Pelodiscus sinensis: one gene and its partner. The protein of the gene in region 2 binds, or shares a complex with, the protein of the main gene of each other region. Links are inferred from orthologs where the notes say so. Each region holds a gene or a part of one and is shown on either strand. Other genes may lie near its edges. The genes, in order: GET1 and CAMLG.

The links.
Region 1: CAMLG (region 2) and GET1 share a complex: the UniProt entries of both Homo sapiens proteins name them as parts of the golgi to ER traffic (GET) complex. The link is inferred for Pelodiscus sinensis from reciprocal best matches to the Homo sapiens genes CAMLG and GET1.

What each region holds. Positions count from the first base shown.
Region 1 is NC_134711.1:188,077,529-188,093,123, reverse strand, and holds the start of GET1 (guided entry of tail-anchored proteins factor 1), read right to left. Parts: upstream 8,506-15,595; 5' UTR 8,403-8,505; coding exon 8,313-8,402; intron 8,268-8,312; exon of another isoform or gene 7,896-8,267; intron 6,086-7,895; coding exon 5,920-6,085; intron 2,828-5,919; coding exon 2,760-2,827; intron 473-2,759; coding exon 358-472; intron 1-357. Other genes in the region: HMGN1 (non-histone chromosomal protein HMG-14), read left to right, coding at 8,920-8,934, 9,312-9,344, 9,428-9,457, 9,536-9,601, 13,089-13,220. UniProt on the Homo sapiens protein: Required for the post-translational delivery of tail-anchored (TA) proteins to the endoplasmic reticulum (ER).
Region 2 is NC_134727.1:28,793,929-28,809,251, forward strand, and holds the start of CAMLG (guided entry of tail-anchored proteins factor CAMLG), read left to right. Parts: upstream 1-9,527; 5' UTR 9,528-9,612; coding exon 9,613-9,799; intron 9,800-13,665; coding exon 13,666-14,123; intron 14,124-14,785; coding exon 14,786-14,851; intron 14,852-15,323. Other genes in the region: protein transport protein Sec24A, read left to right, coding at 1,332-1,446. UniProt on the Homo sapiens protein: Required for the post-translational delivery of tail-anchored (TA) proteins to the endoplasmic reticulum.

The DNA of each region.
Region 1 (15,595 bases), on a different chromosome or scaffold from region 2:
ATACAACAGTGTTGATATACAGCAGTTATGTTTAGCTGAATATATACTGGGGAAAAAGTTAATACCAAGAAAAGAAATGCTTCAATCTGTTTTTGTCTATAGGCCTCCATGTAGTCCAATCATGTTTCCTTCAGCAAAGAATGCTGAGAGCAGGCTGTTCCTTCTCTCACTTTTTCCAAGTTTCCCATAACGTGAACAAGGCCAGAATCCTGATCAGCAAAGACTACTGTTTCAAATTCTTTTTGTTATTAGAAAGCAGATAAGAAAAGCATTTTTAACCTCTACGTGCCTTCTCCTTACATTATTAGCATTCACATACACCAAAGAGAAATGCATACTGCTTATACACAATTTTACCTGCCACTCCTGTAGGAAAGGCTACTAAACGCTCCATTGGGGCTAGCCATTTGCTTGGAAGTATAGTAACTGGCTCAGAATAATATTTCCAAATTAGTGAGATCATCAAGGCAGCCTGGAATGGAAACCCTCATTAGCCAGGACAATAACACACAAAAAGTATGTTCAAATTTCTATTTTGTGGCAGTAAATTAAAAATACGAATAATTCTCAAGTGCAATTAAACTTACAATTGTAAAACTGTGCCTATAAAACTACAAAAAGTTCTTACAATCTGGATGCTATTTACATCTCCTTAACTACCCTCCTACCATTAACATGTCAACATCAGAATTTCTAGGGGGACTCGTAGGCTCAGAGAAAATGGTGCTTTTTACTGTAGGTACTGAATCAATTCTAGTTTAGATGAATAGTGCTCCAAAGCTGTTACAATATGATGGACTTTTTTTTTAGCCAAGATAAACTGAGCTGATATTTATAGTCTGCTAATGAACTAGATCAGTGTTTTTCAAACTGCAGGTCGGGACCCCAAACTGGGTGTGAGCAGCTGGTGCTCCATTTATGCACTGCACTCTCCTAGGGGAAGCAAGAGACTTCGTGTGCGCCTCTGCTCCCAGCTGCGATGATTGACCTGGGTGCAGGGGAGCATGCAAAATTTGTTCTCCACCTCCCACCAGAGGCGCACAGCATGTAGTAGCCTCCAGCTGTTCAAAACAGCTGGCGCTTCCTTTTACAAACCATGAGACCCTGATGGGGGACAAGAGACTTTGCATGCTCCCCTGTCCCCAACTGGCCTGGAAGCGGAGGAGTGCATGCAATTTCCTGCCCCCCAGGAATACACAGCTATGAGCATCACCTGGAGGGAACCCATGTGGCTGGGGCTGCTGCAGAAGGGAGCCTGTTGGATTGCTGGCTGGGAGCCACCTAAGGTAAGTGACCCCAGGCCAGAGCCTGCCTCAAGCACCCCAGCCCCTCACACTTCTTAACTCCCTGCCCCAGGTCACCACCCAAATCTTCTGCTTACTGCCCCAGATCACAGCTCCCTCCCAGACCCTATACCCCGTGCTACATCCCTCCCCCAGGTCAAAATTCACTTCTGTACCCCTACTACCTTCTGGATCCAGCACCCTAATCCCCTGCCCAAAGTCACAACCCCCTACTTCACCAAAACTCCCTTTCAGACTTCACATCATCTCCTGCACTCCAATTTTAGCTGCCCTGATCTCCCTTCTACACCCAACCTCTGTCCCAAGCCCCACACCTCCTCCATAGAGAAGTGCGGCCCTTGACCACTTCCCAAAATCGGAGTGGCTCCCAATCAAAAGTTATTGCCCACCCCGGTCTAAGCTGTCTTTCAAGGAAAATTTCAGTCCAAATAGTTGAAGTCTGGTAAAGTTATAAGCAACTGAAAACAGGATCTTATAACTGTAATAGTAAAACAATCTTAATAAAAGGCAGAGCTACCAGCTCAGCCTACAAAGATAACACCTATATTGGGCTTCAGCTGCTTTTTACATAAGTAACAGAGCAAGAAGCCTCCTTTCCAAAAAACTACAGACCAGACATAATCAAACTCCTTACAAATACCACCTCTTTATCGGCCATATCTTCCCTTCTCGGAAATAAGTGTTCACTGGTAAGACGCTTTATCATGCTACATATAGGCTATGTCTACACTACAGAGCTTTTCCAGGCTACTACAAATAGGCTGTATCTACACTGCAGAGCTTTGCCGCGTCCAAGGAACAAGTCTGCTTTTTCAAAAACAAAAATCGGAAAAGCAGACGCGTTTTCCCAGCATCCCGGTAAACCTTGTTCTATGAGGAAGAAGGGATGTTCCGAAATAGGAGTTTTTTCCAGCATTTGGCCCCGCAAAGACGGGCCAAATGTTAGAAAAGCCTCTTTTGGAAGAAAAGCAGAAAAAGATATGCAAATTGTGAACTGATTTTTTCCAACTTTTCTTTGTAGTGTAGACATAGCCTATATGTAGCATGATAAAGCTTCTTACATAGTCAGAATGTCAGATACACATCTATGACTCTGTCTACACTATAACTTTTATCAGCAAAGCTGTCAGTCAGATGTGTGGAAAAAACCACACCCCGACTGACACAAGTTTCAAGGATAAAAGTGTTGGTGTGAACAGTGCTATGTCATGAGTGTCTCCTGCCGACACAGCTACTGCTGCTCATTGGGGGAGGTTTAATTATGCTGCTGGGTGAGCTCTCTCCCACCAGCAAAGAGCGGCTATCCAAAAGACTTTAGACCAACATAACTGCAGCAGCTGTGTCGATGTAAGGTCCATTGTGTAGATATTGTATTAGCCAGTAGCTGCAGAACGGTAAAATATCATTGTACGTATTTTAGTAATCTGCATTATATCATAAGAAAATGTTACTTACTTGTAAAATGTAGAATACAATATTTATCACCCACTTTATTTTGGCTAATTGAGCAGTTCGTGCTTTCACTATGAAAAAAAAATATTGCCATTTGTAGTATTTATATAATAGTAAACATTCTTACCTCAAACTGGTAAATTATTAATATTTTACTTTCCAAGTAAAAATATTCAGCACAAAAGTTATATTCCCATTTATATGCCTTCACTGGCAATTTATTAAAGGAAAACATAGGCTTTTTTTCATTACCCAAAGTATCAGTGTATGCTATGGGGTATCCCTCTGTGAGGGAAGTGCTACTTTCTTAAACAAAGTTACTCGAGAGAATGTTAGAAATACTGTAGTAGTGTACTAGACAAAGTAATGTAATGTATAACTATGGTCAGGGACATCTCTATGGGCCTGTGAGGCCCAGGACACCCCTCCATCCCAGGCCTTGTCCCCCACTCCACCTTTTCCAAACCCATCCTGCCCCCACCTCCACTCCTTCACCCAAGCTCCTGCTCCACCCCTGTCTCCTCCATACCTTCTTCCAGCCTCCTCCCCAGAACAAAACTAGGAGCCAGCAGCGGGTTGCTTTGCTTTCTGCCGTCACTGGTGTGTGCAGGAGTGAGCCTGACCCAATGCTGGTGCCAGACCCCCTTGCAAATCCCTCAGGGCCACCCTTGGCCCAGTGCTTCTGCAGCCCCCCAAAATGAGGGGCCCAGGGCGGTTACCCTGAACTGTCCTATGGACAGGAAGGCTATAACCAAGGGTTCTATCCTCAACCAAAAGGAATCTCTATGCTTGCTGACCTGTGAAAACTTATTTTAGATTAAATACAAAGGAGACTACTTCCTATGCCTCAGAAGTAGTGCACAATTTTTTAGCAGTCACAGGCTATCACATTAGGGATCCTATTATTGTCCTTTTTCCACCATTTGAGCTCATGAGAATGTTTTCAAGAATACTTTCTAGCCTAGCTGAATCTCATTCAGAATGAAAAATCATTTTAGTGTGATTTGCAAGTACAACCTAGACAACCAAATGTTACACCTGAAAAAACAGTTTTCAACGTGAGTTTCAAATGCTGTGGTGCCTCAGAACAATATAAGAAATCCATTTAAAACATGGTGGTCCAGCAGTCAAAAGTTTTATTAAACAGCTTTGTAGAGACAATTAGGAATGTTAATTTAGATTAATCAGCTAATCGAATAGTTGATGCAATTTGCATAGACTATGTGATTAGTTAATAAGGGCGCATCCGCTGTTGCTTCATTTCAAAGGCGAAAGTGCTGCGGGGAGCTTTCCGCAGCATTTCAAAATGGCAGACTCCGGGCTCCATGCGCGAGTCTCCAGCTGGCCCCAGGCTGCACGCACTGTTTCAAGGCAGCGTGCTGTGTGGAGCCGAAGGTCTGGCCCTGGGCTCTATGCGGCTCTGCCGCTTTGAAACACCCCCTCTTCCTTCCTCCACCCTTCCTGCCTCTTTCTGAAAGAGACAGCAAAGGGGGAGAGCAACTAGTTGACTAGTTGTTCACATACCTAGAAACAATGCACTGTAGTATTACCAAGAGGTAAATCTAGGCGAGGTCAACCACAGGCATAGGGCATAGCATTTACTTAGTGGTAAAATCTCCAGTGGGTGCCTTGTCTTCAATGAGACTTTGAAATGGATTGCTAACATGCATTAAATATTCTGTTAGGGTATGCCTACACTTGCACCCTCTTTCAACACGGGGATGCAAATGCAGACATTCAAAATTGCAAATGAACCCGGGATTTAAATATTCCGTGTTGCATTTGCATATTCACGTTATGGTGCTATTTTGAAATAACAGACGCCGTTTAGACGCACTTATTTCAAGAGAAAAACCTTCTCTCGAAATAACTGGTAAACCTCATTGTATGAGGAATAAGGGTTATTTCGAGAGAAGGGTTCTCTCTCTAAATACAGGCAGTCCCCAGGTTACGTCCAAGATAGGGACTGTAGGTTTGTTCGTAAGTTGAATTTGTATGTAAGTCGGAACTGGTACATATTGTAAGGGAAACTCTAGCCAAACATTTCTCCAGAGCTCAGTTTTATTCTCCCACACCTCACTTCCCTCAATTCTTTATTCTCAAGCTGAGGTGTCTGCTGAGAAAAGCCGCTCCGCATCTCCCTGGTCTGCTGGGGGGGGGGGGGGGGGGGGCGCTAGCTTCGTGTCTCCCTGGTCTGTTGGGGGGAAGCAGCTAGTACGGGGTTACCTCACCCCGTTTGTAAGTAGGGATCCGATGTAAGTCGGATCCATGTAACCTGGGGACTGCCTGTAACCGTGTTTTAACAGCATGTTATTATTTCAAAATAGCGCCATAACACAAATACGCAAATGAAGCGCGGGATATTTAAACCCCGGCTTCATTTGCAATTTCAAATGTCTGCATTTGCATCCCTCTCTTGAAAGAGGGTACAAGTGTGGACACACCTTTATAGAAAAACACCCATACCTTTTTGCAGTGAAGACATAGGCTTAGTGGCTCACTTCCATGTCATAAAGGCACGCTGCTGTTTTGACTTGAGTTCAAAAAGTCTAAGGCTATGTCTATACTGCAGAGCTCTGCTGTGTCCAAGGATCACGTCTGCTTTTCTGAAAACAAATTTCAGAAAAGCAGACGCATTTTTTCAGCATTCCTGTAAACCTCGTTCTATGAGGAAGAAGGGATGTTCCAAAAAAGGATTTTTCCCCAACATTTAGCCCCATGTAGACGGGACAAATATCAGAAAAGCTTCTTTCGGAAGAAAAACGGAAAAAGATATGCAAATTGCAGTTCACAACTTGCATATCTTTTTCTGACTTTTCTTTGTAGTGTAGACATAGCCTAGGTGTACTAATTGGAATGTTTTTTCAGAGACAAAAAAAATGAAAACTTGCCTTCTGCCTCAGCTTCTGTGTGGATTCCTCTGAAAAGCTTTTATATAACACCCTGCAATTCAGAGAGACTCTAAACCCCACCCTCTCAGTGTTATTCTTAATAAAATAAAATAAAATAAAACAAAACTGAACCAAACCAAACCATGAAACTTAAAAACAAAAAAAGGAAAAGGTTCTGCAAATAAGGACAAATAAAGTCAAAATAAAAACACATACTTGGAAAAAGAAGTGTTTTTAGGTAAACGGAACAAGTGGTAAATATTGCATTCTACCATGAGTTTTAAGCTTGTCAGTCATTTTGTTGATCTTTCTTTCCAGTCGGGCATATCTTGCAAACTCATCCATCATACTAATGGTTGTGAGTTCTTGCTTCATGTTTTGAATTTCAGCTCTCATCTGGGATTCCTGCTCTGCATCCTTCTGTAGCAATCTGGATATCTACAAAGGAAAGAAACTCAGAATTATCAGCCTTTTGGCTAAGATCAAGTGTACACAATAAAGAGCAAATACCACAGAAAAAATTCACAGCATCAGCTAAAAGACTCAAAACCTCGCAAAACAAATTAATCAACTTTACACCCATCCCCTCAGAAAAATCTTGAATAAATACACAGGCTGTACAACATAGCATCAATCAGCATTCCCTGTAAATTGTGCGCTCATGCTGCTGCTCTAGAGAAATTCAAATGCTGTCCAGCAGATTATCAGAGCGCCCACAGCCAGTAGCATAGTGATAGAAATGTAGCCGTGTTAGTCTGGGGTAGCTGAAGCAAAATGCAGGACAATGTAGCATGTGTTTCTTCTGGTGGTGTACGTTCACACATGCCTCAGTGCACACAAATAAAATTTATTCTGCATATGGTTGGGAAAAATTAAGAGGGAACATTGTTACAAACTGGTTAAATGCTTCAAAACACTGGAATTGCCATATAGGATCAGACCTGAGGTCTACCTAGTCCAGGATCCTGTTTTCTACAGTGGCTAGGCAGAAGTGGGATAAACTGTCTGCATACCCACCTGGAACTCCCTTATTATAGCTCATCCTATTCTCTAGTAATCAGAGATTAACTTAACCATTGATATCCCTTCCAAATTTTTGGTTAGCTTTAAGTATTACATCTGATTCAAAAGTTTTAGAGGGGTAGCCTGCGTCTACACAGCACCCTAAACTCAAAATAAAATATGCAATTTGAGCAACGCAAATTGTGTATCTTATCTCAAATCTATTTCGAAATAGCTTATTTTGAAATTTGGCATGTCTACACAGTGCTAAATTTCAAAATAATGTGCTATTTCGAGCCATCCTTTATCCCTTGTACAACGAGGTTTACCGGGATGGCAAAATAGCAAGCTCTTTATTTAAAAAAATATTTCAAAATAACTGGCGGCTTGGGTAGATTCAGGGTAACTATTTCGGGATGCCTCCAGTATCCCGAAATAGCCATCCAGGGTAGAAGTACCCTAACTGAATAAGTTTAAAAAACAACAAATAGTTTTGCAGCACTGTAGAGTAACAAAAAATGTAGATGGCATCATGAGCATCAGAAGTTTCATCTGAAGAAGTGGGTTGTGCCCACAAAAGCTCATGATACTATCTACATTGTTTTGTCTCTAAAGTGTTGCAAGACTATTTGTAGTTTTTTATGTTTATTTTATCTGATATCCTTGCTATCCATATAACTATCTAGGCCCTTCTTCAAATCTTGCTAAATTCTTTGCCTCAGAAACTCGTGACTTTTAATTTAATGCTTTAATTACACATATTTCCTTGTACAAGTTTTAATTTGGTAACTTTTAATTTCACTGGCTGTGCCCTTGTCTGGTATTACCAGACAGGGAGAAGAGATGATCCAAATCTCTCTATTGATCAGGTACAAACTTCTATCCTGTTCCCTCTTATCTATCCATCTTTGAACTCTCTTCACAAGTTTGTGTGTTCCCTTAATCATTCTTTTTGTCTTAACTCCATTTCTGCAATATTGTTCTTAAGATGAGGTACTAAAGTGCTCCAGATAAGGTGTACCAATTAATCAGCATTATTTTCTAATGTATTAGTTTTTCTAGGCTGTAGTTTTGGGGGCTCTATGGCTATGTCTACACTGCTGCAGTTCAAATAAGTGATGCAATTTGAGCTGTGCAAATTGCATCTATTTCCATCTTATTTCGAAATAGTGCCAAATGATGAACTAAGCTGTCTATAGTGAGTGCCACATTTCAAAATAACCCGCTATTCCGAAACGTCCCTTACTCTGCATAGATTGAGGTTTATAGGGTCGTTGGAATAGGGAGCCCAACATAAGGCGCTTGCGGTGAAGGCGCAGGATACTCCGGTATCCCCCAATAGCTCTTGCAGTGTAGGCGTAGCCTGTAGGAGCTCAGTTGGGTTTAGTGGCCATTGCTGAAGCCCCGTGGCAGCGGCTTTAAAGGGCACCTCCCCGCTGGCGCAGGCTCCTGCAAAACAGAGCCGGGTGCAATGTCCACAGCTGGGCAGCGGCAGCCCCGCGCTGCACCCCTGCCCCGCACCCGGGCTCCGAGCCGGGCTGCTTCTCCCAGGCCCGGGCAAAGCCCTCGGGATGGCGGCCCCGCCACAAAGGGCCCTGAGCGCCGCCGCTCGCCGGGGCGGTTGCTAAGGCGGGAGGGAGCGCGTCGCGCTGACGTCACTTACGATGGAGGAGCAGGAAGGCAGGAGGATTTTGAGGAGGTTGCAGAGAAACACCGAGCTCAGCACGAGCAGCCACGCGCCGCCCTCCGCCATTGCCCGCCCACCCCCCTCCCTCGCAACCGCCACCGGGCAGCCGGTACGGCCACGCGCGAGGAGCCGCCACCGAACGGCTTCTTCCCCGCACTGCGCGTGCGCATCCGCCTCCCAGCCCCCCCCCCGCCTCCCTAGCATGAAAGCGAACGGCAGGCGTCGCCATGCGAGAGACCTTGACCAATCAGGGGCGTGCTCAGCCCCCAGCCGCTGGCGCGATGGGCCCCGCCCCGTGCCCTGGAACAAGTGACAGGGCCCGCCCTAGGGGCTTGTTGTGATTCGAAAACAGCCCCGCGGGAGGCTCGGCCCAATGGGCGCGCCCCCTTCCCCCGCCCCCCCCCCCAATCCGGCTGGATCCTGTTGCGGAGCCGCTGGCGCTGATGGGATGGGGGGATGGGCGGGCTCCGAGCACTGCAGCGAGGAGACTCAGCTTGGCGGGCAGGCCGAGCGCGGGCAGTAGCGCAGACCTCAGGCGTTAGCAGCAGCCGGTTGTTGGTCGGAGGCCACCGCTCGCCTCGCCATGCCCAAGAGAAAGGTGAGGGAAGGAGCCGCAGGCTGCGCGCGCCCTGGGGCTCCTGGCGCCGCAGACTCGGCAGATGGACGCGCGGGCCTGGGGGAGCTTGGGTCTAATGGCGGCCTGGGGCATCGGCGGCCATGGGCGGGCCCGGCAGCCTAGCGCGGGGCGTTTCCCGGGCTCGAGGCCGCTGCGCCGTTCGAATTTTCTGTGGCCCCTAAACGCGAGAGCACTCGGGGGGTTCGAAATCCGAACGCGGCGGCGGGAAGGGGCGTGTGCGTCCTGACGTCACAGAGCCGAGACCGCCCCTGGAGAAAGAGAGGGTGGGTGCGGTGTTGCTGAGGGACTTGGGCTTTGCGCACGCGTGAACCTTCACTTCTGTGCTCGCTTCTTCGCAGGTGAACGCGGCCGAAGGGGAGGCGCGGGAGGAGGTAAGTGCCGGCTCCACGGGGGGGATGGGCCGGGATTGGATCCCGACGCCCCACTCTCACGCTGTCTCTGTCTCTCCCTCTAGCCCAAGAGGCGGTCTGCGCGCTTGTCTGCTGTAAGTATAGACGCCCCCGGCTGCCCCCTTCCTAGGCGCGGTGTGAGGGGCGAGCACTAAACCTGCCTCTCTCTGCAGAAACCTGCCCCCGCCAAAGCCGAACCCAAGCCAAAAAAGACGGCGGCGGCAGCAGCAGCAGCGAAGGTGAGTGAGAGACACCTGTGAATGGCACAGATCTACCGTTTGGGTGACAGGGCTGGCTCTAGGACAGATTTCATTTGGATGCCGCAATATTTAATGTTAACTGAAGGGAAAAGTGCCTATGTACTTGCATTTTAAAAGACTTCATAGAAGTGTATGGTTTGACTTAACAAAATATTTTTGAACTTGTATTCAGCCTTAATTCAGGGCATGTCTACATATATATTGTTGCAGCTGTACTGATGAAGTTTGTGAAGACACTTTGGTACATAGACATATTGTGAATTAGGGAAAATATCCACTTTCCTAGTGAACCAAGTCTTGGCTGAATTGAGTTTGACTATGTAAAATAAAGATTTTACGTTATAGCAATGCTGTTACAGTTGTGAAACAAGTGTTGTTCTGACACTATTTTCTATAAATGTACTTGTGATGCAAGTACATATAGTATATAACAGACCTAATCAGTAGACTTGTAGTATACAAATGAATTCAGACAGTTTTACTTGGGGTATCTGCCTTAAATCTTCAAATTAATTTTTTTTTCTAATTTCTTGACCTCGATTTTAGAAATAGACACATGAAGATTTGGTGAATTAGAAGTCTCTTACATTTTTATATAATACTGAATGCTTTAAATGGAAAAAGTAGGAAAGCTGTGAATAACTAAATGTGTGTATCTTGAATTCTGCTAATATTCTCAAAAAATGTGTTGATTCCAATGGCTATTCCATCCAGAAATCGATCTGCTGTTGTTCACTTATAGTATTTGTGTGTTAATACCAAGGGCACATTTAGACTGCCCACGGCTTTCAAAAGAAGATATGCAAATTTGGTGCAAATTTGCATATTTTCTTCCAATCCCGTTTTTGGAAGAGGTGGGTGTTTTTTGAAAGAAAAAAAAAACGGTCTAGACATGGTCCTTTCAAAAAATCCCTTTTTTCAAAAGAGCCCTTCTTCCTTAAAAAATGAGGTATACAGGGTTCTTTCGAAAGAACTGCGTCTAAACTGCCTCCCCCCACCCTCCGTTGAAAAAACTCTTCCGAAAATGGGATTGGAAGAAGATACACAAATTTCACTCAAAATTTGCATATCTTTTTGAAAGCCGTGGGCAGTCTAGACATGCCCCTGGAGTTGTATTGGATAAGTTCTGTTCTTTTTGCATAATGCTGTTTATACAAGAAAATGGGTGTGAAATTTTGAAGTACAGGCAGTCCCCGAGTTACGTGGATCCGACTTACGTCGGATCCACAGTTACAAACGGGGCCCTCCCTCTCCCTGGTCTACAGCAGACCAGGGAGAGGAAACAAAGCGGCGGAACACGCGGGCAGCGCACACGTGTCTGGGCTGTCTGCTGCCCTCGGGCTCCGTGGCTTTGCTCTGCTTTGCTCCCCGTCCCCCTGGTCTGTAGACCAGGGGGACGGGGAGCAAAGCAGAGCAAAGCGGGGGAGCACGCGGGCAGCAGGACAGCCACGGTGCGTCTGGGCTGTCCGCTCTCCGCGGCTTTGCTCTGCTTTGCTCCCCGTCCCCCTGGTCTGCAGACCAGGGGGACGGGGAGCAAAGCAGAGCAAAGCGGGGGAGCCCGAGGGCAGCAGGACAGTCACGGCGCGTCTGGGCTGTCCCGCTGCCCCCGTGCTCCACGGCTTTGCTCCGGACGCCTGTGGTACAGCAGCTGGGGTGCTGCCGGTTGGTCCCGTAGCGCCGCTCTGGGCGCTACTAGACCAACCTGGCAGCACCCCAGCTGCTCTGCCCCAGGTGTCCTGATTCAGCCACTGCTGGTCAGTGTCAGCAGCGGCTGAATCAGGACGCCTGGGGAAGAGCAGCTTGGGTGCTGCTGGGTTGGTCCAGTAGCACCGAGGAGTGGCGGCGCTACTGGACCAACCCAGCAGCACCCCAGCTGCTCTGCCCCAGGTGTCCCCAAGTCAGCCGCTGCTGAAACTGACCAGTGGCTGACTACAGGAAGCCCCTGCCCCGGGCTTCCTGGAATCAGCCGCTGATCAGTTTCAGCAGCAGCTGACTTGGGGATGCCTGGGGTTCTTAAGTTGAATCTGTATGTAAGTCAGAACTGGCGTCCAGATTCAGCAGCGGCTGAATCTGGACGCCAGTTCCGACTTACATACAGATTCAACTTAAGAACAAACCTACAGTCCCTATCTTGTACGTAACCCGGGGACTGCCTGTATAGCAGTGTCATATCTAAAAGATAGAATTTTTAGCTAAGTGAAGGTAGCGCATTCCCCTTAGCCTATTTTCTTACTAATACAGTATTGTTAATTGGTTTCTTATTGCTCTCGTCTAAAACACTAGTAAGTCTTAATCTGTTGTTCATTTATAGTTATTGGTATTAATACAATTAATATTAGACAAAAGTATTAAATTTTTACTTTTATGAAACTCAGCTGAGGCATTCTTTAGACTGCAACTAAATGATAAAGTTTGTTGGGAAACTTATACTGACTTTTACATAAAAGAATCCATCTGGTCAGAGAGAATCTCTGGCTTAATCATACGAGTTTGGGCAAAAATATACAACCTCCTTCCACTGATTGTGGAATGTGTTCTTGAAAATATTTTACTGTGCTATTAAATTACAACTAGGAGGCTGCGCCCCCTGCTCACTATGGTCATCAACCCCCCTCTCTCTGGCTACTGGTGAGGGCCGGGCCACAGCCGCACCAGCCCTGACTTTCTCCCCCTGGCCACGACCACAGCAATCCTGGCTCTGGCCATTACTGCTCCAGCTCTCCCTCAGCCACAGCCGCACCAGCCCTAGCTCTCCCCTTATCCGCCCTGGCTGCAGCTAGCCCCAGCTGTGTGTGCCACGGCGGCCACACCATGCCCAGCTCTGTCGTCCCATCCCATCCCATCCCATCCCCTGGTGGCTGGGCTGGCAGTGTGTGGTGGGGTCTTGGGCAGAAGGGGCAGGGCTGGGAGCTAGGCATTACCTGCCCATGCCTTTTCCCCTCCCCCCAGGCTGTGGATGCTGTGATGTGATGGCATCACTATGTTGTCCCAAAATAAATTTATTTTTATATATATATAGGGGGGAGAGGGGGAGGACAAAAGCTTGATGTGTTTTGGTGCTTCTGACGTAGAAGGGCTTGCATTATTTTTTGTTAAAATATTAGCATGATCAAGTCATAGACTTAGTAAATTGGTTAGTGCAACTCTACCAACATACTTAAGTTTCTCTTTTCCAACATGTATTTTCCTCAGTGTTAGGACTCTCAAACAGTTTGCCACTCATAGAAAAACATGTGGTGGTTGTGGCGTCTGAGAAATTGCTATTGACTTTCTTATAAATAGGTCAGACTGAAATCAAAAACTAAGTTCTCTTACTTCTGGAAGGGAGATGGTTTCTATATATTGTAAAACAAATTTTCATTGGCTATGGAGCACATCGTTTTTTTAGGTCTTTTTTTAATATTGAAAATTAAGAACCATCTTGTTTTAAAAGGTTATCTGAATTCCTACATTTACTTTATTGTAGGATAAATCTCAAGACAGGAAAACTCAATCAAAGGGGAAAAAGGGACCAAAAGGAAAACAGATTGAGGAGATTAACCAAGAAGAAACAAAGGACAATTTGCCTGCAGAAAATGGAGAAACAAATAGTGTGGAGGTAAAGTGGTAGCTTTAGTCTTAACCTAGACAAAAGATTGTCTCTTGAATATGAAGAGTTCGTATAATGTAATACACTAGTTAATCTACACATCTGTCGCCATCCAATTTGATTACAGCTCAAAAACCTTACATCAGATTGAGTTTCTGCAAAATGTCAGGTGTAAATGCGTATTGCAACCTAGGAGATTTAGCCATACATCTTCTATTAACTTTACTGGAAGATATGTAGGCATCAGAACAGCTGTGAAAATTAATTGGAATTTTTTAATCTGAAAACGTAAGATTTTCATTTTTATCACTCTATTTTCTGTGAAACTGCTTTCAGTAAAAACTCATAAGATTGCAGCCAAATGAGGCAATAGAGCCTCAATAGAAGTTGCAGTTTGCTACAGCTCTCGTGAAGCGCTATAACTGGTTTTAGACCAAAACCTTTGAGCAAAAAACTGTTTTCTGCAGAAAGCAAGAAATATCTCAATTCCATCATGTTAAAACTAATTTTTTTTAAAATAGTTGATAGAAAATTTTCTATCTCAGTGGCTTTATTCCAGACTATTCTGAAAAGCTTATATGGTTTCTGGCTTTCGTGGTTGCAAAGAAATACTCTAGAACCTATGACCTGCAATCTGGGCCTCTTCAAGTTTCAGTGCCCTTCCCCTTCTGGGAGGAGAGGAGTAGAGCACTGGCAGTCCCGAACCTTGGGGGCAGCCCCACTCACTCAGGGGCTGGAGTGAGAGCTATTATACTTCTTTTCCCCTCTCCCCCCTTGTTGGGAGCTTTTTCTCACTGGTGTGTGTGCCCCCCGCCTCCCATGAAAAAGATTCTTCATCTCTGTTCTAGAAAGATAATTGATGCAAATTCAGTAGACTTTTTAAAGTTATTTTCAGACTGTCTGCAGCATCAACTGGGGAGGACAGGTACCAGGGGGGCCAGAAATGATCTTCCCTAGGTAAACGTGTCACTGCTGAAAAATTCAGCAGTGACACGTTTACATTCGGAGAAGAGCAGGCTGGCTCCTGCCTGACCCCTGGCAGCTGCTGCCTCTGTATCAGCGGCAGCAGTGCAGGGGGGTGCATGTAACCATGAAGGTTAACAGATGGGGCCCAGTCTCATCAGTTAATGGTCTACAGGTTTACCTTTTCACATTCCTAGTACAAACCACAGCAGACTTGCTCTTTGAGGGACCCAAAATATTCACAGAGGGTATCGATAACTGCCTATACTCCCGAGTAGAGATGTTAAAATGTGGTTAATTGACTAGTTGAGTAGTCGGTGAAATTTCCATCAACTAGTCAATAGGCACTTCTGCATTCCTCCTTTGAAATGTACAAGAGCCCCAACGGAGGCTCTTGTACATTCCAAAGGAGGAATTCGGAACGCCGTGTACAGCCAAAGGCCCTTGGAAAGTCCTATTGACTCCGGGCTGCACGCGGAGTTTTGCATTCCTCCTTTGGAATGTACAAGAGTCCCCAGCAGGGGCTCTTGTGCATTTCAAAGCCATGGAGCCCAGGGTCAGCGGGGCACTGCCCATAATCCAGGGTCAGCTGGGGAAATGCTGTGCAGAGCCTGGGATCAGCTGGGGAGTCCCCAGCTGTCCTTGGGCTCCACGGTTGCCCCTTTGAAGTGCGCAGAGGAAGGGGCAGCTGCAGCAGAGCTGATCCCTGGTTCAGCTGTGCGGCGCTGCCTCTTTGAAACTCCAAGCACTTGGCGTGGCATTTCCCCAGAACCAAGGATAAGCTGGGGAATCCCCAGCTGACCCTGGGTCCATGGCCCTTTGGCATTTTAAAGGGGCAGCGCTGCTGCACAGCTGAGCGGCAGATCAGCTGTGCAGCGGCGGCCCCTTTGAAATGCTACCTTGGGGTTTCAAAATGGCAGTGCCTCACAGCTGATCCCTGGCTCAGCTGTGCGGTGCTGCTGCTTTAAAGTACCGCCCCCCCTTCTGCTTTTATCTCATAGAGGCAACAAGGGGGGTGAGGAATTGACTAATCAGCAGACTATCTGATAAGCAAATGCTTATCGGATAGTCGATTAGCCTTTAACATCCCTACTCCCGAGTTGCTCTCTGATCTCTCAGCATTTACATACCAGAGATGGAAAGATGCCTGAGAAAGTATCATGTTCCCCTGCAATCGTGACCACTGCTGTACACTTCCAGGGACACTATAATATTCAGCGCCAACAGTGGAAGTCCCCTACCAAATTCAGACAGACCAGTCCTCAAGGGGCTACTCCAGACACGCAACAATTTTGAAGATGATGTCGAGGCCCAAAAAAGCCTTCCCTTGTTAGTTATACTACCTATTTTTGACACACTATCAGAATGGCAACTGTTGTTTCCATCATGGAGCTTAATCACCTTGGACAAGTGGGTTCTAA
Region 2 (15,323 bases):
GCTCTACACCCTCCCAAAGCCACCCTTTGAACTGTTGGCATCATGCCCCCTCGCCTGCCTTTTGATGAGTGCTATTCATGGTAGCTATAACCTCAGCCAGGTATATTCCACAAGGACAATGTGTTCCTATGGCTCCACCCACCCTAAATTTCTCCCGAAGGTAGTGTTGGAATTCCACTTAAACCAGTGCATCCACCTCCCTGTTTTCTGTCCCAAACCGCACACCTCCCCCACTGATGGGGTCCTACACTCCTTCGATGTCTGCAGTATGCACTGGCTTTCTACCCTCACACCTCTACCTTTCATACATTGCTGAACAGTCCAAACGTCAAGCCCTGTCCTCCATACAAATCTGCAAATGGGTCTCAGTGAGCATCTGTGGATGCTACCAATAATCAGGTGTAGCCCCCTTTCTGCTGGCATCACAGCTCTCTGTGCGTGAACACAAGCCACCACATTGGCCTCACTGCCAGATGTATGCTGGCAAGACTTTGTTATGCAGCCATCTGGCATTCTTGTTCCCAACGTACTATACCGTTGCACAAGTGGTAGCAGACTAGGTTGTACTGCAGATCATGCTTCCCTTGGGATCCTCACACCCTCCTCTACGCTGCCTGCTGTTCGCCAGTTACCTGCCTGTAACTGGAGGTTATTCAAGATACGTAGTCTGTATTCCATTATCCACACCTTTTGCTTTGGACTACATCCCAAGAGGATAATAGGGAGACTGGGAGGCATAACTTATTTACACCCTCGGTAGGGAGCATGAGGGGATGCAACACTCACATGTTGATCATTGGACGCTGCTGAGAAACTGATTCGGCAGGCATGCCATGCCTGCCTACCCACCCACATGTGCAATACAGATAGGAACCACACATTTTGAAGAACCTCCTTATAGTTAAGTAACTATTTCCAGCACACATGACTCTTTGTATACCATCTGTACAGTCTTACAATGACATTATTGAACAGCAAGCATGGCACCAGCTCTCATTTAATACATGGCACTTTATAAGTGTTGCACTTGATGGGAGTTGACAGAGTAGACCCTCTGCCAATTAGGTCTTATATAACATTTTTTAATGTTATAAAAATAACCATGTCGTTTAACATCAGACATTTAGTGAATTAAATGTGAACATTATCCAGCAGTATTATGGTATGAATGACTGAGGCCTACAGTACAGGCTTTTCATTTACCCTTTACAAGCTGATGCATTTATTTTTAAATATTTCACAATACTAGTTCATCCTGTAACTTTAAAAATACACAACTATAGGTCAATGAATGTTTTATTTCACTCAGTCATTTTATTTCTATTTCTAAGGGATGAAAGTCCGCTGAAATCAAGTTTCCTACAGAACATGATAGAAGACAGAACAGAATCTGCCTTATCATACTATGAGTTCCTCCTGCATATACAGCAGCAAGTGAATAAATGAACCACTGAATTTTGTGGCTCTCTTGCTTAGCGAAAATTTCTGCAGTAAAGAACAATTGTGCTTGTAATATCTTTTGTTTAAGTTTGTGGCCTGGTGCAGTTGACAAGAAGATCTCACTGTGATTTCAACAAAAGTAAAGCAAATAAAGGACCACAACTGAAAATCATATGTGCAACTACATAATATTGTACTTTTAAAAAAATCAAAATATATTTGAAGAGGTTGGGTATCTTTAATTTGCTGCAAATTATGTTTTTACTGTAGGCAGTTGCAGCATGAAGTACATTTGCAATATTGAAGCAAAATAAATTTTGTAAAATGTAGTTCAAAATGTATATTTCTGTAACTCAGTTTTGCTTTTTTTGGGGGGGGAGGAGCTGCTAGATTTAAAACCTCAGTATGATTGAGTTGCAGGGAAATTGTATTGTCTTTGATACAGTATATCCACTGATGAAAGACTGAACACTTGTTTTAAGAGAGCTAACTTGTATGCCTAAAGTAGCAATGAAACAATTCATTGTGAAATGAACAAATATTTGAAAATAATTATGAAAATTTTAGGATGCAATGTTCTGGAAATGGTTATGTTGGATAGATCTAAAGGTAGCTTAAACTGACCTAGATGGATTGAGATAGATTGGTCATTGAGAGAAGTAATTAATTAAAAAAAACTTTTAAATATATCATTATTCTTGTACCTGAAAGGCAAATGTGGCATAGTAGACTGTGTAAATTGAAAATTATAATCAAGTGGTCTGGCAGCAAAAGTGAGCTTGACACTGAGCCTTGTTCTTGTAGTTAAAATTAGTTTGGTTTTGTCTTCATAGTTCATTAAATGGCAGTCAAGTGGGAGAACAGAAGGCAAAGCATAGAACCACCTTGATCCTTTAGATTTCTGTGCTCTTGTAAGTTAACTAAATGTTAGGTCCCATAAACTTAATTTTTTTTGTGAAAGGAGGCAGTGGTGGTGACATTTCAACCTTAATTTATCAATATATGTTTGAAACAGCACTGAATATTGTGTTTACTTCTAAACCTGAATCCAACCAGAAGTAATCTGGCTCTTAAAAAGCTCTCAGAAATAATTTTGATGGAAGCAGTTAACAAGCCTAATTCTAGGGCCGTGTGCATGCCAAATACATATAATAATTTAACTGACAGACTTGCGGGTACTACAGTGAAACTGGACATTGGTTTTACAGAAAGCTGATATTTTTAAATGTAAGATGTGCAAAGTATTTGAGAAGTAAAGTACATTGGAGAGCAATCTGTAGATGACAGGTTGTTTCTCCTTATGTTACTTGATTGTTGCTCCTTATATGCCTATGAAAGAGCTGTGGGGAGGGGAGGAGAAGTTTTGTACCTTACTTTGTTTTTATTTTATATTAAGGCTCATATACTTACTGCAGACTTGCTAAAATCTTGTTGGGGTTAAGTAACTTTTCTTTGGTGAGTAAAATGTTTATAATAAAGGCAGACAAGTAGGTATTGTGCCTAGGCTAGTAAACTTGTGAAAGGTTTGCAAAGTGGATTTAACGGGACCTGATAGGATCACAGTTTCTACAGCCATAGCCTGTTTCTCTGCTCCAGTTATAATAAACTAATGGGAGTTACCTCAGTGCAGGGGAGAAGCAGCTGTTTCTTCATAGAAACATAGTGAACAAGTTGAGCACAAGAAAACCACTATCATTGTGTGCTGATTTATTTCTCCCAAAGATGATTTAAACACCCTGCCTACTGTGTCTACATAACTAGTAGAAATGTATTTCACAAAAGCTTTTTTTAAGACTGTGCATTATCTTCTCTCAAAATGAAAATATAAAGTAAGTATGTAGGGGAAGTTCTGTTTTAAAATTCACTAAATGACTTTTCTGGTTTCATTTAAATCTTATTTTTTATTATTTCTTAAATGAGAATCAGTCCTTCCGACAACCACAATTTTATGAAGTGGTAATCCACTCCAGGCATGTGATGACAAAATGTACCCATTGAGATGTTGGAAATAATCCATATATCTCATAACACACACAAAAGCCTGTGGTTTTCCTTACTATCACCACGTGCTTTGTCATTATAGTCCATAAACTTAATTTTAAAATATAGCATCTGTTTCAGAGAAAGCTTCACTTTATGTAAATTAGGTTAACAGCTGTGAATGTCAGTCTACATGCCAATTCAATGACCAACAACATTTCAAGTTATGATCCCTAATTTTTTTTATGCAAAGCTTATGAACAGCAAGCAAATTAACCCCATTTGGAGTACAGTGCTTTTGGAATGTCTATAATGAATTGACTGACTATCCTGCACTATTGAAAGTCTAGTTTAATTCCATGCAGTCAGAGACAAACCTCTCCTGCTTCAGTTTGTATTATTTTTACATCATTGCAGAGTAACACCCTTGTGTAAATTGCCTTTGTCATACTTCTCACTGTTTACAGATGTCAAGAATACTGTTTTACAATAAAAACAGACAAGGGTGGCCCTGGTTGTTATCTTAGTGTGACAACTACCATAGTACACTTACAATATTTTTCTAGTTTCTGAGATTTAACTATTTGTCTGACACATTAATGTTACTTCAGTCAACATCAGTACCATCCATTTTAATTTGTATACGTCTTTATAATTTAATATATTTGAATCTCAGTCTAAATAGACTATTTTGCAATAACTAGAATAAGATTTACATTTCTTTTATTCAGAGCTAATGTCTTAACAATTTATAATCAAAGATGCAGAATGGCTGTTATATAAGGGACCATCAAATGTGATTTTAAGCTTCTGTTCACTATTATGGATGTAATCCTTATACATTTAATTTTGTAAAGTAGTGTATAATATTGTAATATTAAATCCTTGTTTTCTGAAACTCAGACACAGATCTTCAGCGTGAAGTTATAAATCTTGCCCCTTCTGAATCTGAGACAGGATTTACTTGTCCTCCTTTTTACAGTTTGTAATTTTCACTGTTTTATTCCTGTAAAAAGTCATTTGTAACACATGCAAATGCTTATTTTATCTGTGCTAATTTAAAAGATTTGGCTACTCAATAAAACTAATTGAAAGTGCTCACAAAAGTCCATTAGTCCTTTTAGTTACACAAGTGGGATTCCATATTTGACCAATTGCTGGGTGACATTTTTTCCAATGGTTGCATTAGTCACTTCAGTAACAATAATTACCTAGCTAAAGAAGAAAATACTAACTTGCTACAATTGTCAGTTTTGTAAATTATACAAAGATTGGGGCACTTCATATTTCAGGAGTAAAAACATGAAGTATTTGTTATGTAATCACTGGTAAAATTCCACTGTTAGTTTAAACAAGGAAAATTCAGAATTACTGGCTTTTGAACTAGGGATGTCAATGTGTAGTCCACTGTATGATTAACCAATAAGCCTAGGTTTATGGGTTAATCTTATCAACTATAAGCATTTCTCATCCCCTCCCACCTCCTGCTTTAAATGCCAGCTCCCCTCACAGGTCTGTTGTGCTGCCTGCCCCTCCCATCGTGCTTCTGCCTTATCAGAAGCAGCAGCACGGGGAGGGGGAGGGATCTGAGTTCCCCGCAGGCAGAGGCTGGTCTCTGTCTACAGGAAGCTCAGAAAGAGAGAGAGAGAGAGAGAGAGAGAGAGAGACACACCCCTTGGACAGAGGCTGCTGCTGAAGCAGACTCTGTCACAGCAAGCCCCAGCACACCATGGACAGAGGCTGCTCCAGCTTCAGCCCTTGACTGTGGGGTTTGGAGCTCCCTGCAGACAGGGGAGGCAGAGCTGCCTCTGTCCACAGGGAGCTTGGATCTCTTGCAGACAGAAGCTACTGCTTCCCCATGTTGCTGCCTCTGTATCAAAGGCAGCAGCTAGTCTGCATAGGGAGCTGGTTTCTTAGTCCCCAGAGACTAGAAAAGTCAAGTAACCAGTAAGAATTCATGCATTTACTCAACTATTCAATTACCCAATAGCTAACATCCCTATTTTGAACCCCAAGTATTATGCCTTATTCTTTAAAAAAAAAAAAAAAAAAAAAGAGTACAGACACAGCTGAGTCATCTCTGGGACCCTTGAGTAGCTCCATCTGTACTGTGTAGCATGAACTTCAGTATTGACAAATACATAGGAAGGGTTCTATTCAACTGTCATACACAACTGCATTCTTAATTACTTAAGTCAACAAATAGGAGGCATGGATAACTCAATTCACTGTGAATTGAGCAGCTGTTTTCACTATTTTAGAATGTTTAAAAAAAAAAGGTTAGAAAGTAACATTGAAAATAAGTGTTTATATAAATCAAGGGTATTCTTTCCTAGAATGCTGTATTCAAATGTGATCAGGCTATTGAGGAAAAATAGCACAAATAGAACATACACAGCTGTTGGGTGTAGAGAAGGTAATTGGGATGAAAGGCCTACATGAAAGGCAACAGATCTAAAAGTAATGAAAGGAAATAATTAAAACTGGCTGGTCTACTCCATAATCTAAATCAGGGCTACTCAACTTTGGAAGCCCGGGGGCCACATTGATACTACACATGCCAAGGGCCACAACTTAAGTGTGGTTACATATATATTTGTATGTATATGCAAATAGCTTCTTTCACACTGATGGACATGAATACAAAGCACTTCCCACAATGCCCCTGTGCTCCCAACACCACCTACACAACACCCAGACCCCATTTAAATCAGTTCTGCTGATATTATTAAAATGCAATATTTACCTGATTTCCACCCATATAACAGCACTTTTAATGAGCAATGACAGTCCTGGAATTAAACTACTAAAATGCATATCAACAGAAAACCATTATACTGACTACTTTTTTGTTTTGCCTTCTACCTGCGGACCATGTGTTGAGCCCTGCCTACGTAAATCCAAACCATGCTGAGGGCCACGTGCCCCACCGGCCATGTGTTGAGTAGCCCTGATCTAAATCTTCGTTTGATGCATCTGGTACTGATCATTGTCTGAGAGAAGATACTGGACTAAGTGATTGATCTGATATGGAAATTTGTGTTCCAGAATGTAATCAGGACGTTTTATTTCCTATCTAGAGTCTTTAGCAGAATGACACTTAGTATAAGACTAGGACATTGGTTGAAGGAAAGATTCTCAGCTTGAATACTAACATGAATCTAAAACAGTATTTCACCTATGTATTTACTAGAAATGGGACTGCACTACTGAGGACCTGAAGAGCCCATGAGATTTTGAGAAGAGATGTAACTGGAATTCTTGTCAGCATTTTTCTCCTATCAGAGTTGTTTTCCAAGTATTCAGTCCTTTGAGATTGTCTGTACAGGCAGTCCCCGACTTACGCGGATCCGACTTATGTCGGATCCGCACTTACAAATGGGGCTTTCTCGCCCCGGAGCTCACAGGCAGTGGTCAGCCACCTCGACCTCCGGGGCGAGAAAAGCTGCTCCCGGTGCCCCTGGTCTGCTGGGGACCGTCTCCAGCAGACCAGGGGCACCGGGAGCAAAGCGGGTCCCGCGCCAGAGCAAAGCGGGTCCCGCGCCAGAGCAAAGCCTCAGAGGCGAGGCACCCCCCGCTGCCGCTTTGCTCCCTGTGTCCCTGGTCTGCTGGGGGGGGGCGCAGCTAGTGTGCCCCCCCCAGCAGACCAGGCTTTTGTTGTGGACCCTGGGGCAGAGCAGCTGGGGCGCTGCCGGTTGGTCCTGCAGCGCCGCTCTGGGCACTACTGGACCAACCCGGCAGCACCCCAGCTGCTGGGTTGGTCCAGTAGCGCCGAGGAGCGGTGCTACTGGAGCAACCCAGCAGCACCGCCCCAGACGTCCCCAAGTCAGCCGTTGCTGAAACTGACCAGCGCTGACTACAGGAAGCCCATGGCAGAGTTGCTCTGCCCTGGGCTTCCTGGAATCAGCTGCTGATCAGTTTCAGCAGCAGCTGACTTGGGGTTCTTAAGTTGAATCTGTATGTAAGTCAGAACTGGCGGTCAGTTTCAGCAGCGGCTGAATCTGGACGCCAGTTCCGACTTACATACAGATTCAACTTAAGAACAAACCTACAGTCCCTATCTTGTACGTAACCCGGGGACTGCCTGTATTAAGATCAACAGTGCAGTAATTATATGCAAACACATTCCCTTACATCATCATAGAATACTATAACTGGAAGGAACCTCAAGAGGTCATCAAGTCCAGTCCTCTGCCCTCATGGCATGCCCAAGCACCATCTAGTCCACATCATCCCTGATAGATGCCTATCTATCCTGCTGTTAGTGATGGAGATTCTACAACCTCCTTAGGCAATTTATTCCAAGCACCCTGACAGTTAGGAATTTTTTCCTAATGTCCAACCTAAACCTTTCCCTGCTACAATTCAAGCCCCATTGTTGCTTCTATCAGAAGCCAAGGAGAACATTTTTTCTCTCTCCTGCTATCATCTTTTTAATACTGACTGACACCTTTTACATTGGGATCCCTGGCTATACAATAGTTTATCAGACCAGATTAAAAAAAAATAAAGCTAATGTTAATGTATGATAATACAGAGGTTAAGAGTCCAAAGGCAGCACGTTAAGTTATTTTTGCCATCTCTCCTATAAACAGCACTATACTCCTTCCTATAAAGAACACGCAGGAAAACAAACTGTTATTTCTGAATGGGAAGGTACAATGGGGGAAGTACAGATTAAAATTCTCAATAGCCATTATGCAAAGAAAACCCAAAAATAGGAATAGTATTGAGCTAATTGAGGCATTTCAACCTGGCACATGGGCAGTAATTGGAGTTCTGTGGAAAGTGATTAAACTTGACCTAATGCTTCCCAGGTAAAATATTAGTATAGAGTTCCAGGAATGTTTCGTTTCTTCTGCAGTTCAGAAGTTGTAAAATGTAGAAATTACCACTGCATTCTAATGAATCTAGTCCAATATAGGAGAACATTACGTAGCTAAAATTGGCATTTTGCTACTTCCTACCTGTACTCTTACACACAGGTGCCTGTGCTAAAAACAGCTCTTTAAGGTTTGATGTTGATAATCTAGTCGGAGATGGTTTAACAGAAGAGTTATTAGAGCCACTTGTTTTTTTCCAGGCGCTTTCCAGCCCCGGCCAGTAATAATCCCATACCTTGAAGAACAAAGGCAAGCACACAGTGCCAGAATGGGGAAGAAACAAAAAACAGGACTATGTAGCACTTCAAAGTAGAATAGTGGTAGAAATGTAGCCGTGTTAGTCTGAGGAAGTGGGTCTGGCCCACGAAAGCTCATCATCTAATAAACCATCTTGTTAGTCTTTGAAGTGCTACATTGTCCTGCATTTTGCTTTAGCACTTCAAAGACCAACAAGATGGTTTATTAGATGATGAGCTTTCGTGGGCCAGACCCACTTCCTGAGATCAAAGAGTGGAAGAAAATTGTGACAGTTTTCTTCCACTCTTTGATCTCAGGAAGTGGGTCTGGCCCACGAAAGCTCATCAGGTAATAAACCATCTTGTTGGTCTTTGAAGTGCTACCTCCTCCTGTTTTTTGTTTCAGCTGCATTTCCATCAGAATGGGGAAGGACTGACTCTTGAGGGCTTCCCCCAGCACGTCGCACTTCCAGCAGCGAGTCACATGCTCGTGCAGCTGGAGCCTCGATCTGTGCAGGGATGTGTCGGATCCCTTCTGAGGTAACGCTGGTGTCCAGCAGAGCCCGCTGCCCTGGGGCTGACGCGGAGGGCTGGGGGCGGGGAGCTCCGCGAAGCGCCAACGGGCCGTAAAGGGCCAGTGAAACGAAGGCGCCTGACTCCGCTGGTGGGAGTGGGGCGTCCGCGTTGCCTGCCCCTCTGCTGCGCCGTCTCCTCAGGCAGCCAACGGGCGCCGCTTCCTTCACGGCACGCGGATTCTGGTCTCCCCTCACGGGCACCGCTTCAGCGCGACACCTCCCCACACGCTCCTTTGTGTCGTCATCCCGAGGCCGGAGCCGCCATCTTTACTCTGGGCCGCCGGTCCGAGTTGGAGAGGCTTACCGGCGCGAGGGCTTTCCGAGGTCCCTTGGCCGCTCCCCTTCCCCAAAATGGCGCTGCCTGCTTCAGCAGGGGGGCGGGGACGCTAGGCTGACCGCGGAGGTGACGCCTGCGCACTAAGCGTGGGGGGAGGTGGAGTGGCCTGTCAGGCCCCATTGTTTTGGGGGGTGGAGCCGCTCGTCGTGTTTCTGCTGAGGATGGAGCTGGAGGCGCTGGCCGCGGTAGACAGCGGCGGGGCCGGGTCAGCTCCCGGCCCTCACGGGGTCCCCGCGGGGCTCTCGGCGTCGCAACGCCGGGCCGAGCTCCGGCGGAGGAAGCTGCTGCTGAAGTCGGAGGAGCGGATCAACCGCATCATGGGCTTCCACCGGCCGGCCGGGCTGAAGGGTAGGCGGGGGGGCGGCGTGTGGCCTTGGGCTAGGGGCCGCTCAAGGAGCGGTCGCTCAGGAGACCCCCGAGCGCCGAGGGCAGCCGGACTGGGCCGGAGACTGCTGAGAGACTCCTCCCATTAAAAAGGGAAAGGGGAGGTGGCGCTGGCTTAGGTTGGAGGGTGCGGGGAGCCCCTTAGCTTTGGGGGCGTAGGACACACCTCGCCTCCTCCTCCCCAGGCTTCAGTAGCAGCAGCCAGGCTCTCGTTACCTCCTTGCTCGGCAAGACGAGGGGCTCAGGGCATGGAAAGTGATGGCATCTTCCTCCTCTCTGGAGCAGGGAACAGACTCTTCCCCACCAAGATGTGTGGGGGCATGACTCTGCTATCGATGGTGGTGGGGTTTTGTGTGTGTGTGTGTGGGGGGGTCCTCATTCCTCTTCTCCCCATACTGCTGCGTGATACCAGGTAACACACCCATAAGTACTGCAGAGATTGGAGGAGTCCACTTCCCTGTGCAGGAACACACCTCAGTGCAGCAAACCCCACGTGTGTGCGATTTCCCTCCGGTGTCTGGAGTGGAGATCATTTCACTGACCTCGGAGTCGTCTGCCCTCTGTAAAATAGGTTAGGTGACTGATACACACCAGCTTGTTGCAGTATTGAGCTCTTTTTTTCTGTGTGTCTTATATTTGGAATCACACTGCACTTCTTTTCAGGGCCCTTGGGTGTGTTAGGGTTGATGTTGTTATCTATAAAGCATAATGGATCTAAATATGGCTCCGTTTAAACACAAAATAAGACATGTTCCCCTTCATTTTGCCTCCTAAATATACTTTACAATTTAAGGATCTATGCTGGAAATCCCTCTTGACACAGAATTGACTATGATTTCAATTGAATTTTCTGCATTGGATGGGGTTGACAGGATTGTGCCCTGATGCGTTGATTATGGAGTTTCTTGGGCCCAAGAAAGAAAAGCTAATGCATCTTTGCTTCACCATTACAATATTAAACAGATTGGCTACGTCTACACTGGCCCCTTTTCCGGAAGGGGCATGTAAATTTCATGAGTCGTAGTAGGGAAATGCGCGGGGGATTTAAATATCCCCCGCGGCATTTAAATAAAAATGTCCGCCGCTTTTTTCCGGCTTTTAAAAAAGCCGGAAAAGAGCATCTACACTGGCCCCGATCCTCCGGAAAAAGTAGGAATAAGAGCCTCCGGAAAAGGGCGCTTTTTCCGGAGGATCGGGGCCAGTGTAGACGCTCTTTTCCGGCTTTTTTAAAAGCCGGAAAAAAGCGGCGGACATTTTTATTTAAATGCCGCGGGGGATATTTAAATCCCCCGCGCATTTCCCTACTACGACTCATGAAATTTACATGCCCCTTCCGGAAAAGGGGCCAGTGTAGACGAGCCCATTAAGTTTGGTTTGGGTGGTTATGTGAAACTATTATAGGCTTGGTTTCATTATAATAACTGACACCACAATTTTTAACATTGTATAAAAGATACAGAAAAACAAAACCAGTAAAAGAAGATGAAATGTACAGTTGTAAGTCCTTTCATTTTAACAATATTCTTGATTCCTTTTAGCTGTATAGTTTTTTTTTTTTTTTATAAGGAGAAACTCCTGCTTGGATAGTTTTATAGTTGACTTCAATGGTTTCCTGTGCAAATACAAAATGTATATCCATGGATTCAAATTCGAGAACATGTAGCTGCAGGACTGTACAGAGAATGTAACTGTGAAAGTGGCAGCATGTTGGGCCATTGCTTGCAGAAGCCACCACCCTGTGTAGACAGCTCCTCTGGCATGGCTGTATCACCCAGTAGGGCATGGCATCAGGTTCACTGGCAACTATCCCTGGTCACACTAGCATTTGCAAGGGACTTACACGTTCCCAGGCAGGAGTCCCTTCCATGCAGCAGAATTTATACCAGTAACATTATAGTGTGACTGTTACTCTTCTTACCTATCCTTCCACATGCTAATGTATTTATTTGAAGCGTAGTAATTTATCCAGGTAATGCTACAAATAAATATCTGAGCATGTGGGAGGATGGGTAAGAAGATTAAAAGTATGAAGAAAAAGGAGGAATGGTTATTACTACAGTGATCCCCTTCCAGTGCAGTGATGGTGAGATAAGATATTAGGATGGTTTAATTCATACATAGAATTTGACTTTCAAAATCCAAATTTGTTTTTTTTTCTCATGTCAGGAATTATTATTCAGAAAAACGATGTAAATGATATTGGGTGCTTCTATTGGACCTTTCAATTCATTGTTTTTTTTAAAAAAAGAATCATTAGCTTCTCTGGTTCTCAGTTTATGTGTCTACTAGCACATGACTGCTCGGGTTGCAAGTGAAATAATGGGGTAGTGGATTTGTTTGGAAAATAAAAGAAAATGTACATGCTTTGTTTAAATTATTGTATTTTTCAAAAAAAGAAGGAAAAATAAGTTTGGATTAATAAAAGAAGGAAAGTGATTCAAACATTAGAGCTTGTTGGTAGACAATATTTGCAGGTTTTCTGACATCTGTACCACCTGTCTCCTTTTTATTTTAGCAAGAGTGAGGACAGGGGTTAGGAGAGCTGGTGGGAGGAGGCTCAGGGCAGGGGGTAGGGGATGCTGGAGTGAGTGCAGAAGTGGAGGCATAGGGTTTGGTGTGAGCGGGACACAGGGCAGAGGATGCAGAATTCAGGGAAGGTGGTGGGAGGTGCAGGACTCAAGGCAGGGAGCTCAGGCCAGGGCGCTGGGAGGCCAGGTGAGGGAAGCTTATCAGGGCTGCCCATGGTGGTGAGGATGGCACTGCTTCCATGGCACCTCCTCCCGGGGGGCCAAGGTGCGCTCTCTAGCCAGTGGCTACCCCTGGGGGGCCAGGGATGTGAGGGCCAGTCCCAGCCTCCAGTTTGTCCAGGGATGTTGCTCTGGGGCCCAGCCTAGCTTCCTCTGCCCTTCAGCTGGTCCTGAGGGGTCAGAGGTCAGCCTTGGCCTCCAATGCCCTCCCTGTCCTGCAGCAACCCTCCTGTTCTCCCCAAACTGCAGCTGGTCTGGGGCCAGGCCCAGGGGCCGGGGGGAAGCTCTTCTTGGGTGAGGGAGGCTGACTAGGTCGCAGTCCATGTCATCTCCTCTAGACTGTCTTTGTGGGGGAGGGGAGAGACAGCTCGTGGGGGAGGGCCAGGCTGCACTGCCCAACCCCAGGGATGAACCCATGAGAGTCGGTGTGGGGCAGCAGCTCATTCCCTGGGAGCGGGGCAGGAGCAGGGCTGCCAGGGGGGAGCTGGTACATGCCAGGAGCCAATTTAAAAGCCGGCTTCTGGCATGCACTGGTCCCTGAGGAGCCGGCTGCCGCCCCATGCTGTGGGCTCTACAGTATTAACAAATCTGTTAACTTGAGAGTAACTTTAGAAGCTCTGTAGTGTGTGTATATATATATTTAAAGGTGCTGTCAAGTAACAGATTTTTGTCTTAATGCTGAAGTTGGCTTTGTTATGCTTTTTGTCCTGCCGGAGACATGGTGTAATAGTCTGCACATAGGAGCAAGAGTCAGGAACTCCTGAATTCTAATCTTAACTCTCTAACACAGTTGTCTTCTGTGGCTTAGGGCAGGTCATTTAACCACTGCCTCAATTTCTCTGTTTGTTTGTAAAATGGGACTGCCGATAGTCACTCGTTTACTTCTCATTTACTTCTTCCTTTAGAAAGACTAACTAATTACTATTTATAAATGCTGTGAAGAAAAACTTGAACATGTTGTCAATTGTAAGACTGTGGTTTCACAAAAGTGTTTTAATACATTAATCTGATGCCCAAAATCAGCTGAGAGGCTGATCTAAATATTCATGGGGAATAACATTCTCTTTTGTTTCTCCTCTTCAGATGATGAAAGTCACACAGAATCAAAACTTCAGCATGAGCAAGATAAACCAAACTCCCTCCCTATTCCTGCAGTTTCAAAGCGAATTGTACTTGGTGATTCTGTCTGTAATTTGTCAGGAACATCTGACCATGCAAGTGGCATTATAGAGCTTAAGGGAGATAAAAAGGACTTGTTCAGTAAAGCGCCTGAGCTTGGTAATGATGGTACTAGTGAGCTCCGGCATCGCAGCAGAGGGGATCTGGTATCAGAAGCTTCACAGAGAGCACCTCGACACAGATTAGATCAATACTTATCAAGATTTGATGAAGCTATGAAGCTAAGACACCAGCTGATGAATGAGAAGCCTAATCAAGAGAACGGAAATGCAGGGGAGGAATTTGATTCTTTTCGCATTTTTAGATTGGTGGGATGTGCACTTCTCGCCATTGGAGTTAGAGCTTTTGTATGCAAGTACTTGGTGAGTTAAGGAAAATTTTTTGCTTTGTTGCTGCAAATCCCACGTTCATGTCACCTCAAGAAAAGGACTAAATTCATATATTTAGGATCCTCCTCTGTAGATGGTGACTAGATGAGTAGAGAACTTCTCTTTCTCTTGGTCCACCGTATAAGGCCCTGAGTAGTACGTCATTACCTTCTTGGAGTAGGTACTCATCTTAGTACCTGCAATGTCTGGGTAATGCAGCCACCAGGTGGCAGCTGAGATCAGTGCAAACTATAACTTCATCCCCTCTAGACTAGAGACTAAGAACATTAGCACCAGACTGCTTCATGCATCTGCCTGTGTCTCCAGCTGGAATCTCATCTAAAAATATGTAGCTAGCACAAATTACCACCCTCTAAGCAATTGGGTTGACTTTAGACAGCAGTGATATTGTACCTGTGGCAACAATAATTGGTAAATCAGTCTTATCTCCTTTCAGGGTCAGGGCCTAAGAGAATTATGCAGATATTCCACCTTAATGGTTAAATGTATCTGTTTAGGCCACTAGTGTTCATAAACATAAATGATTTTTCAGTGCAGTGACTTAAATTTTATTACAAATAATTGGCATTTGCCTTGGAGGAATACGTTTATTCTTGTTTTATTTTGTCTAATTTTCATATTTTCAATCTTTACAGTCAATATTTGCTCCATTTCTTACTCTACAACTTGCATATATGGGACTGTCCAAATATTTTCCAAAGGTAAGATCAGTACTTAGAAAAGATTAAATTAAAAAGAATCTAAATTTAACTTTTGCAACAATAATTTAGAGTGGGCCCAAAATGCACTTTACAAACAAGTTTTAAGTGACTGATTGATGTATCAATATGGCTTCTTTTCATTTTAAAGTAGTGAAATGAAAGACACCTATTGTTGTGGGTTAATGCATTAGCCTTTAAGTTGTTAGGATCTTAATTCAAATCCTCTTAAAACCTCAAGTGAAAATGAGTTCTATTTTCTTGCTCTTCTACCTAGCAAACATTTAGTCATAGCACAATTAAAAGCATCTGATCAGAACATAAAGTTAGTTCTTCCTTGCATAATGTAGCATTTACCTGACATCCATGCAGTACTTACCTGTAATTAGTGGTGTGTGGTTTCTTTGAGATCTTTGCACTCACGGAATTTTTCCCCCTCAAAGTGAACTGAACATTGGGCCTTCATTTTCAAAGT